Linked DNA regions of Lonchura striata. The protein of the gene in region 2 interacts with the protein of the main gene of each other region in a pairwise test. Links are inferred from orthologs where the notes say so. Each region holds a gene or a part of one and is shown on either strand. Other genes may lie near its edges.

What was found.
Region 1: the proteins of CSTPP1 (region 2) and RAB29 interact in a two-hybrid assay, tested with the Homo sapiens proteins (2 studies listed by BioGRID and IntAct). The two-hybrid records come from large-scale screens. The link is inferred for Lonchura striata from reciprocal best matches to the Homo sapiens genes CSTPP1 and RAB29.

The regions. Positions count from the first base shown.
Region 1 is NC_134632.1:2,615,766-2,623,683, forward strand, and holds the start of RAB29 (ras-related protein Rab-7L1), read left to right. Parts: upstream 1-4,909; 5' UTR 4,910-4,953; coding exon 4,954-5,077; intron 5,078-7,918. Other genes in the region: SLC41A1 (solute carrier family 41 member 1), read left to right, coding at 9-194. UniProt on the Homo sapiens protein: The small GTPases Rab are key regulators in vesicle trafficking. Essential for maintaining the integrity of the endosome-trans-Golgi network structure.
Region 2 is NC_134608.1:38,958,505-38,965,585, forward strand, and holds the start of CSTPP1 (centriolar satellite-associated tubulin polyglutamylase complex regulator 1), read left to right. Parts: upstream 1-4,075; 5' UTR 4,076-4,147; coding exon 4,148-4,193; intron 4,194-7,081. UniProt on the Homo sapiens protein: Regulator of the tubulin polyglutamylase complex (TPGC) that controls cytoskeletal organization, nuclear shape, and cilium disassembly by balancing microtubule and actin assembly.

The DNA.
Region 1 (7,918 bases), on a different chromosome or scaffold from region 2:
TGTTCCAGGTGCTGATCCTGCTCTACATCGCTGACTGGATGGTGCACTGGATGTGGGGCAGGCACCTGGACCCCGACAACTTCTCCATCCCGTACCTGACAGCTCTGGGGGACCTCATTGGGACAGGGCTCCTGGCCCTCAGCTTCCACGTGCTCTGGCTCATCGGGGACCGGGACTCCGATGTTGGGGATTAAATCTCCCTGCTCCTCCCTTCCCGCAGCTCTCCTCCTTCCATTTGTTGTTTCTTTGCTTCCCCCTCCTGCCACCTCCCCCCCATCCTGGAAGATTTCACCTTTGATACCGGATTCTCATTATTTTCAATGGGAATTTTACGTGGTTTATATTTCAAGTCAAGTTTGTACAGAAAAATCGATCTAGTTTTAGGAAGGACAAACAAACAAACAAAAAGTGTAACGAGACAATCACTAAGTGCAATTTTCGTAGCAGTCATGTCTGAACCAAGGTTCCAGTGAAGTTCCTGCTCAGTCGGATCATGCAGGGAGCCCCCCCTGCCCCCTCCCTCGAGGTGCAGGGCTGCTTTTTTCGCTTCATAAGCGTTTTAAACCCTGCAGGTCGAGCTCAGGTTTGTTCAGCTGAGCTGGCACCTTCCAGCCAAGTGCAACCTCATGGCTCAGGGCATGGGGTAGCCCTGCCTTGGCTCTCTGAAGCTCCAGCCTGGGCCCACATCCAAAAATGGGGAGTGTCTATGAGGAGGGTGATGAGGAAGGCTCCTGTGTTCACCCCAGGAATGTGAGTGAGCTGATCTGAGAGCCCCTGGCTGGGCTCTGCTGGCAGCTCCAGGCTCCCTTTTGCCACCCACGCTGCTTCTGCCTTGGTGAGCCCAGCTCAGCTGCTCTGAGCTTCTCCCAGAGGGGCTGGGAGCTCTGCCCACACCATCCCCACTGCCAGGGACCCTCTGCAGGACCTGCTGGAGCCCTCCTTGTGCTGCTCCCTTTCCCTCAGTGCACCCAGAGGGGCGCATGGATGGACAAACAGCTCCTGGTTCTGTGCCCAGCTTTCCTTTTGGCTGCTGACGGGGCCCTTGCAGGCAGGAAGGGATCCCTGGGGAACTCTTCCTGGACACCTGGACACACAATTTTTCCATCCTGCCATCCCTGGGCTGTTCCCCTGGGCAGGAGCATTTTGCTCCTGGTGTCTGTGGGATTTCCGTGCCAGCTGCAAAACAGCTGGGCATGCAGGATGAGTGGAGCCCTGGCTGTTGGGGCAGCTCTGTGGCACAGGAACCCCCCTGCCCGTGTGTGGAGCTGGGATGGGGGCTCAGCCCAGCTGGGGGGGCCCGGCTGAGCCCTGGCAGTGCAGGGTTCCCTCCTCTGCTGCTTCCCCTCCTGTTCCTGTGCTCTTCTCCTCGGGGCTGCCTGGAATTCCTGCTCTTCCCCTTAGGCCACGCTGGCAGGGCAGCAAAAACCAGAGCTAGGGGCAAACCAAGACCAAAGTTAGTCCAGGCTCACTGTGCCAGGCCAGGAGCTGCGTGCAGAGCTGGGCCTCGCTCCAGAGACGAGTTGGAAAAGAGGGTCGGGATGAAGTTTGGATGAAGTTCTTTTCCAGCTCCAGAAACGAGTTAGAGAGGGTCAGGATGAAGTTTGGACTAAGTTCTTTTTCAGCTCCAGAGATGAGTTGGAAAAGGCTCAGGATGAAGTTTGGATGAAGTTCTTTTCCAGCTCCAGAGACGAGTTGGAAAAGGTCAGGATGAAGTTCTGGATGAAGTTCTTTTCCAGCTCCAGAGAAGAGTTGGAAAAGAGGCTCAGGATGAAGTTCTGGAGATCACGGGGCAGGTGGAGCCAGAGCAGGGCTCCTGGCTGCTCCAGCCCTCGCTGGAGCTCTGCAGACCCTTCCCTGCTGCTGGTGCTGTGCAGGAGGCAGGGCTGGGCTCCAGGCTGCTCCTTCTCAGCCCCTCAGAAGAGCAGGTGTTGTATTTTGGGATGATTTCCCCCTTTTTCCCCTTGTTAATCCACCCTCAGGCTCAGTCCCCCTCCTCCTGTGCTCTGTGTCCCGGGTGGGAGCAGCTCTGACCCTCCTCTGTCCCCTCTGGGGACATTTCTCAGATCTCCTTTGGCCAAAGCTGTGCTCAAAGGGAAAAAAAAAAAAAAAAACAACCACAAAACAAACTTTGTTCCTGCTGTGCTGAACTCTCAGCCCAGGGACTTCTGGAGCATTCTCTGTAATATTTTCTGGAGTATTTCCTGGAATATTCTCAGCTGCTCACCTGATTTCTCTGCCTGATGTTGAGGAATAAATGCTAGACTTCCTCCCATTAACACTTCAGCTTTCATGGATACAGAGGGCAGCTCTGCTGGCCTGTCTGGTGTCACATCACCACTTAATCCCCCAGGAAAGGATTCCCTAGAGGAGGAATCTGCCTCTCATGGTGGGGGCTGCTGGGGCTGGGAGGGTCTGTACATTAAATATGGTCAAAGGTGTGCTTGGGGAATGGTCAGGGAAGAATTTAATTTAAAATGAGGAATATTGATTAAAAAAACAACAAAAAACAAACCTCTTCCCACTGGTTGCACTCCAATGCATGCCTACTCTACAGCTGCCTGCAGATGAAAATCCTGGTTTACTCTTTTATTAAAGGAAAAAGACTGTCTTAATTATTTATAGTTCCTATAACTGACAGATGTCGACCTAATGGATAAATTATATTTGGTTAAATAAAGATGACATTTATTTATGTGGACTGTGGTGGGGTTTCTTTTGTTTTCTCCTTCAGGCTGAAGGCCCCTCTCAGGTTTTGAAGCTTATTGAGCCCAGGCTGAAGCTCTTTTGATAGGAGAAAATCAAATAAATTGCTGGGCATGGAGCAAGGTGGGATTGGTGTGAGTGCCAGGTGACCTCGGCCCTGCCCCTGGTCAGGTCCTGGCAGCTCCTGGAGGGTCCTGGCAGGAATCCAGGTGTTCCTCCTGGCAATCCAGGTGTTTCTTTGACAATCCAGGTGTTCCTCCTGGCAGTCCAGGTGTTTCTTTGACAATCCAGGTGTTCCTCCTGGCAATCCAGGTGTTTCTTTGACAATCCAGGTGTTCCTCCTGGCAGTCCAGGTGTTCTGCTGGCAGTCCAGGTGTTCCTCCTGTCAATCCAGGTGTTTCTGGCAATCCAGGTGTTCTGCTGGCAGTCCAGGTGTTTCTTTGGCAATCCAGGTGTTCTCCTGGCAATCCAGGTGTTTCTGCTGGCAGGGTTGGATAAAACCTTTTCCTGACTTAGAGATGGGGTAACTGAGAGGTGTTTTCAAAGCTTTTATTTTATTTTTAGTCTTGTGAGAAAGGTGAGACAATGTAAATGTTGTGATTTATGCTGTTACAATTAGAAGCTATTTCTTAATTACAAAACACTATAAGTGTTTTTGTAGTTTATTAACATTTCGTTACACTATGCTGTAGATACTTTAAAGTTATTTATCTAAAATTGCTCTTCATAAATCTTATTACATTGTACCTTTCATAGTTCTATTTCTCCAAAGTACCTAATCTTATTTACAAAATCATCTTTTGAAACTTTTTTCTAGCTCAATTTCTGTCTCAGCAACATCTGTGCTATTCCATAACATTTCCAAATCAGCATTTCCTGTCTCAGAGTTTGCATACAAATACATGCTTTACAAACTTTCTGTCACACCCTAAAAACTCTACAAAGTCATTTCCCACATCCCAGCAACAGGGAACCTCGTTTCAAAATGGAAATCTGTTGGGAGAGGTGTTTGTGCACGTTTGTGGGGTGCAGGGAGCGTGGCCTGGGGTCCTGGGGTGCCTGGGGCAGGAATTTGGGGAGCACAGGGGTGAATTTGGGGTTGCAGAGGATGTGCAGGGCTGGATCTGGGGGTGCAGGGCTGGATTTGGGGGTGCAGAGGTGTCTGGGGCTGGAATTTGGGGTGCACAGGGCTGGATCTGGGGATTCAGAGGATGTGCAGGGTGGGGTTTGGGGTTTTAGGGCTGGATTTGGGGATACAGAGAGTGTGCATGGCAGAGTTTGGGGGTGCACAGGGCTGGGGCTGGAATTTGGGGTGCACAGGCTGGATCTGGGGATTCAGAGGATGTGCAGGGCAGGATCTGGGGGTGCACAGAGCAAGGTCTGGGGGAACAGGGGTGCATGGGGCTGGGGGTGCTCCCAGCAGGACCTGGGGGTGCTCAGAGCAGATCTGGGGATGCACAGAGCAGGATTTGGGGGTGCTCAGAGCAGGATTTGGGGCTGCTCACAGCAGGATTTGGGGATGCTCACAGCAGGATTTGGGGGTGCTCACAGCAGGATTTGGGGGTGCTCACAGCAGGATCTGGGGGTGCTCAGAGCAGGATCTGGGGGTGCTCACAGCAGGATCTGGGGGTGCTCACAGCAGGATCTGGGGATGCTCGCAGCAGTATTTGGGGGTGCTCGCAGCAGGATTTGGGGGTGCTCACAGCAGTATTTGGGGATGCTCACAGCAGGATCTGGGGGTGCTCGCAGCAGTATTTGGGGATGCTCACAGCAGTATTTGGGGCTGCTCACAGCAGGATCTGGGGGTGCTCAGAGCAGGATTTGGGGCTGCTCACAGCAGGATTTGGGGGTGCTCACAGCAGGATCTGGGGGTGCTCACAGCAGTATTTGGGGATGCTCACAGCAGGATCTGGGGGCGCTCACAGCAGGATCTGGGGGTGCTCACAGCAGTATTTGGGGGTGCTCAGAGCAGGATCTGGGGGTGCTCAGAGCAGGATCTGGGGATGCTCGCAGCAGTATTTGGGGGTGCTCGCAGCAGTATTTGGGGGTGCTCGCAGCAGTATTTGGGGGTGCTCAGAGCAGGATCTGGGGGTGCTCGCAGCAGGACCAGCTGGCACAGGCGCTGCGCGGGGCCGGATCTGACGCTGGCTCCGGCTCAAGGCAGCGAACTACAGATCCCGGCACCGCGGGCGGCTCGGGCGCCGCCCCGGCCGAGCCTCACATGACGGGGCCGGGCCGGGCCGGGCCGGGATGGGGCAGCGCGATCGGATGTTCAAGGTGCTGGTGGTGGGCGACGCCACGGTGGGCAAGACCTCGCTGGTGCAGCGCTACGCCAACGACAGCTTCAACCGGCACTACAAATCCACCGTGGGAGGTGAGCCCGACCCTCCCCGGGCTCCGGCGCTTCCCGGGGGGTTCCCGGGGTGTTCCCGGGGGGTTCCCGGCGGTTCCCGGGTTTTTCCCGGGGGGTTCCCGAGGTTTTCCCGGGGGGTTCCCGGCCGTTCCCGGGTTTTTCCCGGGGGGTTCCCGGCGGTTCCCGGGGTTTTCCCTGGGGGTTCCCGAGGTTTTCCCGGGGGGTTCCCGGGTGTTTCCTGGGGTGTTTCCGGCGGTTCCCGGGTGTTCCCGGCGATTCCCGGGTGTTCCCGGGGGTTTCCGGCCGTTCCCGGGGGTTCCCGGGGTTTTCCCGGGGGTGCTCCCGGGGTGTTTCGCGGGGTGATTCCCGGGGATGTTTCCCGGGGGGTTCCCGGGGTGTTCCCGGGGGTTCCCGGGATTTTCCCGGGGTGTTTCCCGGGTGTTCCCGGCGATTCCCGGGTGTTTCCCGGGGGTTCCCAGGGTTTTCCCGGGTGTTTCCCGGGTGTTCCCAGGGTTTTCCCGGGTGTTTCCCGGGTGTTCCCGGCGATTCCCGGCGGTTCCCGGCGGTTCCCGGGCTCCGGCGCCGCGCCCGTCCCGGTGCGCATCCCCAGCCCGGAGCGCTCCGCGCCCTCGTCCCGCGGCACCGCGCCCCGCTCCCCCGGCGGTGGCTTGGGATTCCGGGGTGGGAGCAGCCGCCTGTCGCCGGGCTTTGTGGGGTGTTAGCTGGCAGACCTTCTCCGCCGAGCCCCCGGGGGATGCTGGAGCTCTGCCCGGCTCACTTGGGGTGCCCCATCCTTCTCCCACCCTCTGGAATAACCACCCCAGGAGCTGTAAGATGGATAGGCTGAGGTTCCAGGCTCAGCTTATCCCAGTAAAACCAGCAGCAGCACTGGTTTGGCATTAATTGAACAGCCCTGAAGTCCTCAGGAGCTTCTGTCCTTGTGCCAGGCTCATTTCGGGTTCCCCATCCTTCTCCCACCCTCTGGAATAACCACCCCAGGAGCTGTAAAATAGATAGTCTGAGGTTATAGGTTTATCTTATCCTAGTAAAACCAGCAACAGCGCTGGTTTGGCATTAATTAAACACACCCTGAAATCCTCAGGAGCATTTGTCCTACCAGGCTCATTTGGGGATGCCCCTACCTCTTGGAATAACCACTCCAGGAGCTGTAAGATGGATAGGCTGAGGTTCCAGGCTCAGTTTATCCCAGTAAAACCAGCAGCAGTGCTGGTCTGGCATTAATTAAACACACCCTGAAGGCCTCAGGAGCATTTGTCCTTGTGCCAGGCTCATTTCGGGTTCCCCATCCTTCTCCCACCCTCTGGAATAACCACTCCAGGAGCTGTAAGATGGATAGGCTGAGGTTATAAATTCAGTTTATCCCAGTACAACCAGCAACAGTGCTGGTCTGGCATTAATTAAACAACCCTGAAGGCCTCAGGAGCATTTGTCCTTCTGCCAGACTCATTTGGGGTTCCCCATCCTTCTCCCACCCTCTGGAATAACCACCCCAGGAGCTGTCAAATAGATAGTCTGAGGTTATAGGTTTATCTTATCCTAGTAAAACCAGCAACAGCGCTGGTTTGGCATTAATTAAACACACCCTGAAGTCCTCAGGATCCTTTGTACTTGTTCCAGACTCATTTGGGTTGCCCCCACCCTCTGGAATAACCACCCCAGGAGCTGTAAGATGGATAGGCTGAGGTTCTAGGCTTAGTTTATCCCAGTAAAACCAGCAGCAGTGCTGGTCTGGCATTAATTAAACAGTCCTGAAGTCTTCAGGAGTTTCTGTCCTTGTGCCAGAATCATTTGGATGCCCCATCCTTCTCCCACCTCCTGGAATAACCACCCCAGGAGCTGTAAGATGGATAGGCTGAGGTTCCAGGCTCAGTTTATCCCAGTAAAACCAGCAACAGTGCTGGTCTGGCATTAATTAAACACACCCTGAAGTCCTCAGGAGTATTTGTCCTTCTGCCAGACTCATTTCAGGTTCCCCATCCTTCTCCCACCCTCTGGAATAACCACCCCAGGAGCTGTAAAATAGTCTGAGGTTATAGGTTTATCTTATCCTAGTAAAACCAGCAACAGCGCTGGTTTGGCATTAATTAAACACACCCTGAAGTCCTCAGGATCATTTGTCCTTGTGCCAGACTCATTTGGGGTGCCCCCACCCTCTGGAATAACCACCCCAGGAGCTGTAAGATGGATAGGCTGAGGTTCTAGGCTTAGTTTATCCCAGTAAAACCAGCAGCAGTGCTGGTCTGGCATTAATTAAACAGTCCTGAAGTCTTCAGGAGTTTCTGTCCTTGTGCCAGGCCCATTTGGGGTGCCCCTACCCAATTAATTTGGCATTAATTTAACAGCCTGGCCTCGCTGCTGAGGGCTCAGCAGCTCTTGGGAAGCTCTGTGAGGAAGAGGCTGGGAATGGGGCTGAGCAGGATTTTGGTTCTTTGTGTAAATGAATAACCTGGAAGGAGCAGGAGCTGCCAAGGGTTTACCCAGGAAACCTCCCCCAGGACCCAAAATCGGGGGTGTTGAGCTCAGCTGTTTAAATCTTCTTATTCCTGACCCAAGAGGGGATGGATTAGAGGTGAAAACCCTGGAGAGGCACAGAGCTCCAGGCTGTGCCCAGCAGGAAATGCTGCAGACTGGTGGCTGGGGCTTTTCTTTTTGTACTTTGTTCCTGGTTTTGGTCAGCCCCAGCCCAGCTAGGTCTGGCTGCCAGGTTGAAACCCCGACACATCAGGATCTGAGAACAGCACAGAGCTTCCCCTTTTGACTCACTGGTGACAGCAAATATGGGGGGATCCAGCCTGGCAGGGACCTTACAGCTGCTGTCACCCCTTGAGCACGGACAACTTT
Region 2 (7,081 bases):
AAAACCACTGTGCTACAGGTGAACCAGATAAACAGTTCATTCAGTTTGAGAAGGCTCAGATTATGAGAAGCACTACAAGTACTGGATCTTTTTTTTGTAAATGACTCCTGAGGAACCAACAATATAAAACCATGGATTTCATTACATAATTTCATTGTGGTTTTGGCTGACCATTTTATTTAAGATAATCTTATTTTTAGTGTATGTGTTTAGAGAGTTTGGTCACAATCCATATAAATAATTATTAAATCAAAAATTTAATGAGAGATTTTATGGGTTTGCAACTGACTCATATATGAATCATCCAGCTTTAGTGCCATTGATTTTTAAAATTACTTACAAAATAGAATTCTAATTTCACTTACAAGATTTCCATCATTTACATAAATAATAGCATGTGAAATTCTTATTCTCCATTTCTTCAGATCTCTTCTCAAAACTTATCTCTGCTACTGTGCCCAAAATAATAGATTATCAATAAAGATTGACAGTTATTTAACTCAATGCTTTTCTCCTCACAGTATAATTTGTTTTTCATGTGTCTTTTTGTTACAACACCTGCAATTTTATTAATTATTATGTACAAGGAAAAGCTCATCTGGAAAATACATGAGAAGCCTCAAAGAACACAAAGCACTATCAAAATCAAAAAAGCTGAGTTCTGCACAAGAGGGGCTCTTAGCTAACTATGTTTTAAAACAGGATAAACAAGAAAGGCTAGAGACATTTTCCTAGTGTTTCTATGAAACTGTCTTACATTGATTTCACAGTCAGATGAAACAATACTGAAGACTGCCCACAGCTTAGTTCTTTGTACATTGTAGCAACAGCATTTCCATCAGTCACTTGAAGGAAAAAAAGGTTGTTTCCTCTAATACACCTAATAGACTGTATTTTAACTACTGTAGTAATAATTGTTAAAATTCTAAGCAAATGAAACATTTAATTCCAAGAAAAGTTAAAGAAGCCGGTGAAAGGTACGCAAGCTGTTTAAAACAAGGCATTTCCTCTGGAATTTTTTTCTTGCTATCTAGTCCTGTTTATTATTCTATATAATACACTCTCTGAAAGAGGAGCTGTTTCTCAGGATAACTTTGTTAATAAAAGGAAAATATTTCAGTTCCACATTGATAGTATAATTCAGGAAGATGAACATAAAATCGGCTGAGAGTAAGCTAAGCAATTAATATAGTGGGGGCAAAGTATGTGTTTCTGGAGAAAACCAGAAATCTGACTTTAGCTAAGTTGCTGAAAAACACTTACAAAACTTACACAGGAAAGATTTTCAGTCCATGCATCTTAACATAATAAAGACATTTTATTTCATCATGTAATTTAAATTACACCACTAACTATTTTAAAACTTGTGGTCACATGGTCTCTTACATAACTAACAGTTTACTAAACATGATTTCTGAAACTGTACTTAAACCACACTTCAAAGTGAATTAAGCTAAATCAGATCAAGATCACGTTACCTCTGAAAGAGGGTGTGCACAAAATGTACCAATGTAATCCAACTTATCTTCCTTGAAAGACCGATCTGGATACCCAAATGTCCCTGGTAAAGAAAATGCAGCAATTTTAGCTACGAGATGTTAAGCACCACCATGATTCCCAGGGTAGACAGTAAAAGTGTGCTCCATAGGCTTGCCCTGAAGTGAGATCTGTACCTCTGATAATCTACCAAGAGGCTGTGACAGGAAATTTTCTTCTCCATCATTCTTCCAGCTGGGTCCAAAAGAACATTAAGCTCTTGTTAGATGTGCCCCTCTGGGGGCAGCTATTAAACCTCCACATGGTTTCCAGTGGCCGAGAAAAGCCTTCTCAATTTATTAAAATGCACTAGTCTAGGGTTCTAAATTCAAGTTGGTAAAACAACCTTAACACCTATGGACAGGCTGGCAGCATTTCTCCCTTTTCAGGTCATGAGAGTGAGGGAACAAGAAAATGCTGCTGATCTGTTATATCACCTAATCCAGGCTCTGGCAAGCCAAAGGAGAAATAATAGTAAACAGGAAAGTCTATAAATAGCTTCAGAAATGACATCTTGTTTTTATAAAATTTTCTTGAAGTTGTTAACAGTCAAGCACCATTACTACTGAAACTTATTGTTATTAAAACTGCAACTGGGACCAGTGTCCAAAAGGTTTCCCTTAGGGTCTGAAGAAATAACAAAGTCTAACCCATAGAGACCAAGTGAGAAAAAAGGAGAGGGGAGGGGAGAGGAGGAGGGGAGGAGAGGGGAGAAGAGGAGAGGAGGGGAGGGACCACCCCAAGGAAAAACCAGAGAGATGTCAGAATATGTAGTATTCAAAACTGGACTTTATTGGCCTCTTGTAAATAAGTGCTCTAGATACTGATCAAAGCTAAACTCTGGTTTACAGAAATGGTTTAAACAACAAAAAGAAAACAGTACACAACCTGTAGAAGACTCCTACCAGCTCAGCTGACCAGCATTACAGAAGAGGTTTTTAAACACCGGTGACACTGCTTATGTGTGTAACAACATAATCCTGTGTTTTCTCATTCTGCTTGAATATAGTTCCTTTCTAAATTCTGCTGAATTTCTGGGCTCAAAAATATCTTGTATCAATGTATGCTGTGAGCTAATTGTATCTATCACTAAAAAAATCCCATATTTAAATTTATCGCCATAACTTAGCAAACTGGAGTTTTGAATGAGTTTCATTGTAGTACAAATAATTTTAGGTAACATAATTTCATGAGTATCCTCTTTAAGACAATCTTACATTTTTTCAATCATTCTTCATGCTGGAGTGTCTCATTGTCTGCTCCCTAAGCTATTCTCTCTGCTCATCTTTGAAATATTTATATCTAAGCTATATGCTTTTAAAGACAGAACAAAAGACAAAGGAGTGATCCAGGCAATCTTAAGTGGGATATTAACATTTAAGTTATAGCATCTTGTTTGCTCTTTTAAAAGGTTTCCGTCCTTTAAATATAGATTAAAATTGAGTTGCCAATGCCTCAGCATTTTCCTCTAGTGGAATAAAGGCAGATCATATGCACGTACAAATGTTACTTTCTGTTTTGCATTTGTCATTAAAAACACGGACAACACCTGCAGTCCTTTTTTGTCTGGTTGCTTGGTTGGTTTTTTTGGTAATACTTCCAGGATTACATCCTGGGCTGTTATTTCTTCTAATGCTGATGAAAGAAACTGCAAAGTATTTTGGGAATTTTTGCCACATCAGCTTTTGTGAAAGAGGAGTCCAACAGGCTTGCTTCCAGCCACATGAAGAGCTCTGCTACTCCTACATCCCTGATACAATGGCCATTCCCAGACAAGCTCCCAGGCAAGAAAGGAAAGAGCCCTGTGACTCAGGACTTTTCTGCTCATTTCAGCTTGAATCTACAGAAGCAACAATTCATGAGGCTCCCCATACCTACCTCTCCTGAGCACAAGGGATGCAGAAATTCCAGTTCTGGGATAGTATGGACAGAAGGACACAAGCCTAAAGGATCTCCTTGGCCACACTTTCAGTCATTGGTCTCTGGAACACAGCTGCAACACATCATTAACCCAAGGATGTGGTCAGAGCAGCAAGCCTGGCAGAGTTCAAGCAGCATCTGAACAATGCTCTCAGGCTCATGGTGTGATTTTTGGAGTGTCCTGCACAGGGCCAGGAGCTAGACTCGACAATTCTGATGGGTCTCTTCCAACTCAGAATATTGTATGATTTTAACTTATTACAATTCACCTTCAAATCAAGGTTTTCCCCCCACAGCCCTAGTCCTAAATAACCCCTAGCAGCTTGTCTAAATGAGACAACACGTGCCTCTGCTTTAGCAATTTGGGCTCTTCGGGGGAGCCTGCTCACTCGCTCTCCCCTCTCCGAGGCGTCCCTCGGCCGCGGAGCAGCCGCCCGGGGCATGGCGCACCGCGGCGCCCGCGCAGCCCCGCTCCGGGCGCCGCCGCCGGCCCCAGGCACCGTCCCTCCCGCGGCTCCCTCCCGGCCTCGCCCAGCCCCCGAGGGCCCGGGCGAGGGGGCTGCCGGCGGCTGTGGGCGCGGAACTGTGGCGGCGAGGGGCGTGTTCCCAGCCGGGGCGAACCGCCAGCCGCGCCGGGAGCGTCGGGCGCCTTGGAAACGGGCGGAAGCCGGGAAGGAGCGGCGGGAGGAGGATGCTGAGCCCCGAGCGGCTCTCGCTGCCCGGCGCCGAGTACCTGGGTGAGGAGCGCGGCGCGGAGGCTTCCCGAGGGTTCTCTCTCCCTGCCGTGCTGCGGCCCGGCTCGGGGAGGGCTCGGCGGGCCGGGGTGGCCGCGGCCCGGCCTTTCCGGGGACGGCGGCGAGCGGCCCCGGGCTGGGCCGGGCTGAGGGGGCTCGCAGCGGCTCCGTGTCCGCCTTGGCTGGGGCGAGCAGCCCCGGACCGTAACAGAGCGGGGTTGTGGGCCCTGAGGTGGGAGGGCTGCGGAGCCCTCCGGGCACAGGGAGCATCCCTCCGGTGCCCGGAGGTGATGGAGAGCGCGGCCGGAGCTGAGCTGCCGCCTCCTTCCTCCACTGTCCGCTTTGGCGATGTGAGCGGTGTCCAGCCTCTCTGTGATAGACTTCACCCATTACCAACCTGTTTTGCTCACAGATCGATGTGAGCATCCTTATTTTATGCTCGTTTCCCAACAATGGGAAGGAGTGACGCTGATACGTTGCGAGCTGGTTCGAATGTTAGCTTTTGTTCTGAAATTAGGTAGCGTCGACAATGTTTCCCTACATAAAATGAAAATCTTTTAACCTGTGAAGCAGCTACTCCTTTGAAGACTACATCCTTTTTAAGCTGCCTGTAACGGCTTGATGTTCCAGGAAACTAAGGAGCAAAGTGATTTGATGTTAATGTGTCAAATAAAAATAATTAGGATGGAATAAAGTCAATATGACTTAATTTAATTGCTGAAAAGGAGATGAATTACGAGTAGTAAGCATTTGGATTGTGTTCAAGAGTGTTTGTGAAGTGAAACTGCAGCCATTACTTCCTAGGTCCAAGAGACTGTTCGATAACTCTTATAAAGGTATACATAATTTTCTGTGGTTTTCTTGTACAAGGGAGGTCAGAAATGGATCAGATTGTTTTGTGCTGTTTGTTCTATCATGATTTTGCCATTTCTGTAAGTAAAAATGGAACAAGAGTACAGAAACACTGCTGTAAATGGAAAACCTGTCTTGCCGTGGGTACTAGACTAGAAGACTTCTGTTTAACCATTTATGCAAAGGAGTGATCTAAGTCATCTTACAGTAGAATCTCAGTGTTCTGTAGCTGCTAGGCTGCTGTTAGGGTGCTTTGTGCATACCTGCATAACTGCAATGCTGTTCTGTGTCAAGGAAGTTCAAGAAATAGGTTTATTTACTGCTCTATTCAGGGTGACTCATGGGCCTCACCTTGCTGAAGTTGTTATTGCTGATTTCAGTTGTGGAGCTTTGGGTGTTTGAGAACAGCATCATAGTGCCATGTAGACACACTAGACACACACCCTTTGGGTTTGTGCTGTTCTGTCACACTACTTCAGCATTTTTAACCTACATGCTAATAGAGTAGTTCATACCTTTTCCAGAATGGCTCTAGGTTGAAAACTGCAAAATATATTTTCCTTAATGAACCAGCTTGGTTTCAGGTTCTTGTAATTGTTTTTAATTACATAGGCACTTTTAATTGTGTGAAACTTGTCAATAAGTATTGAATCACTCAAACCAATCTAGGAAGCAGACTAAAAATACTTAAAGTGTGAAAATAAACCAGTTTTCTGTTGCACATCTGAAAGCAAGACATGAGATATAAAAGAGAGATTTCTTAGATGTACAAGATTGTTAGGTGCAAGCAGCTTTACAAGTCACTTAAATAAGCCTCCTTTTATCTCTGTTCCACATGGTGATTTGGAATTACCTTTTCATTTTGTACAACTTTCTAAATTATTCTGACACTGGGGTTAGAAAAAGACATGTGACCATATTTGGGTGAAGAATGACTTCTATAAGAGTCTTTTCTGTTCATTACTTAGTATATCTTTGATTTAGATTGTAGTTTCTGCCGTCTATTAGAGGGGGAAACATATTCTTATTAGCTATAAATGTTACCAAAAGCAGTGTTTTTGCCTTCCTGAGACTTTGTAACTTGCCAAACTGCTCACAGATCCTAAAGAATTTAGTGTGGATTAGCAGTAGGAAAATGGTTAAAAACCAAACCAAAACAACCCCCAACTCCCCCTTCTCCCACCCCAAACAAACACACCTCCCCACATGTTTTTCTGAGTTGCATTTCTGTTTTCTACATTGGCATTTTGAAATCACCATTATTTGGATTGTTCTGTTGTGCACCTCAGGGTCTTGTTAATACAGTTATCTGAAGTGGGGTTGTAAGGAGCTGTGATAAATTTCACTTTCTGTAATTTCATTCTGAAGTTCTTTGCCTTAGCTTGCCACTTAAGGTACTGACTCTCACAGATGGGTAACTCACCCAAACCCTTCTTCCTCTTGTCTCATTATCAAAACCAGGCTAACACGTAAATTGAGCAGCCAGAATAACATAATGTGCTACTTGCTGTGTTATTCTACACAGCCCGCAGCCCCTGCTCTATTTGAGATAATTCTTCTACAGCCAGCTAGAATGCTGAGAGGGAAATAAAAGCAGTTTTGCGTTAAAATAGACATGAACAGGGAGAGAATTAAGTATTAACTTTAGATGAAAAATAATTGCAAAGCTTTGTTATGCCAGAGTTCCTGGAATATGAAAATCAGGGCAACATGTCTCATGCCACAATGAGACAGTAAGTAGAAGAAAAGAGATAACCATTATTTAGGGAATGGGAGTGGAGATGAGGTCTACAGAGTTGGCAGAAATGCTATAGTGAAGATGATGTTGTTACAAGCATGACATTATAAACAGTATTTTCACTGAATAAACAGCATTTATTGTTTGGGTATAGCGATGATAATCTGTTTCTCATTTGATGGATGAGACTGGACCTACAGTAGGCAAAATGAGGCATATTTGAGAGACTTTTTCTTGGCTTCCTCCTTATGGTTTAATAACTGGTGATTGCTCAGTTATTTATAACAGGCAGTGGAGCACT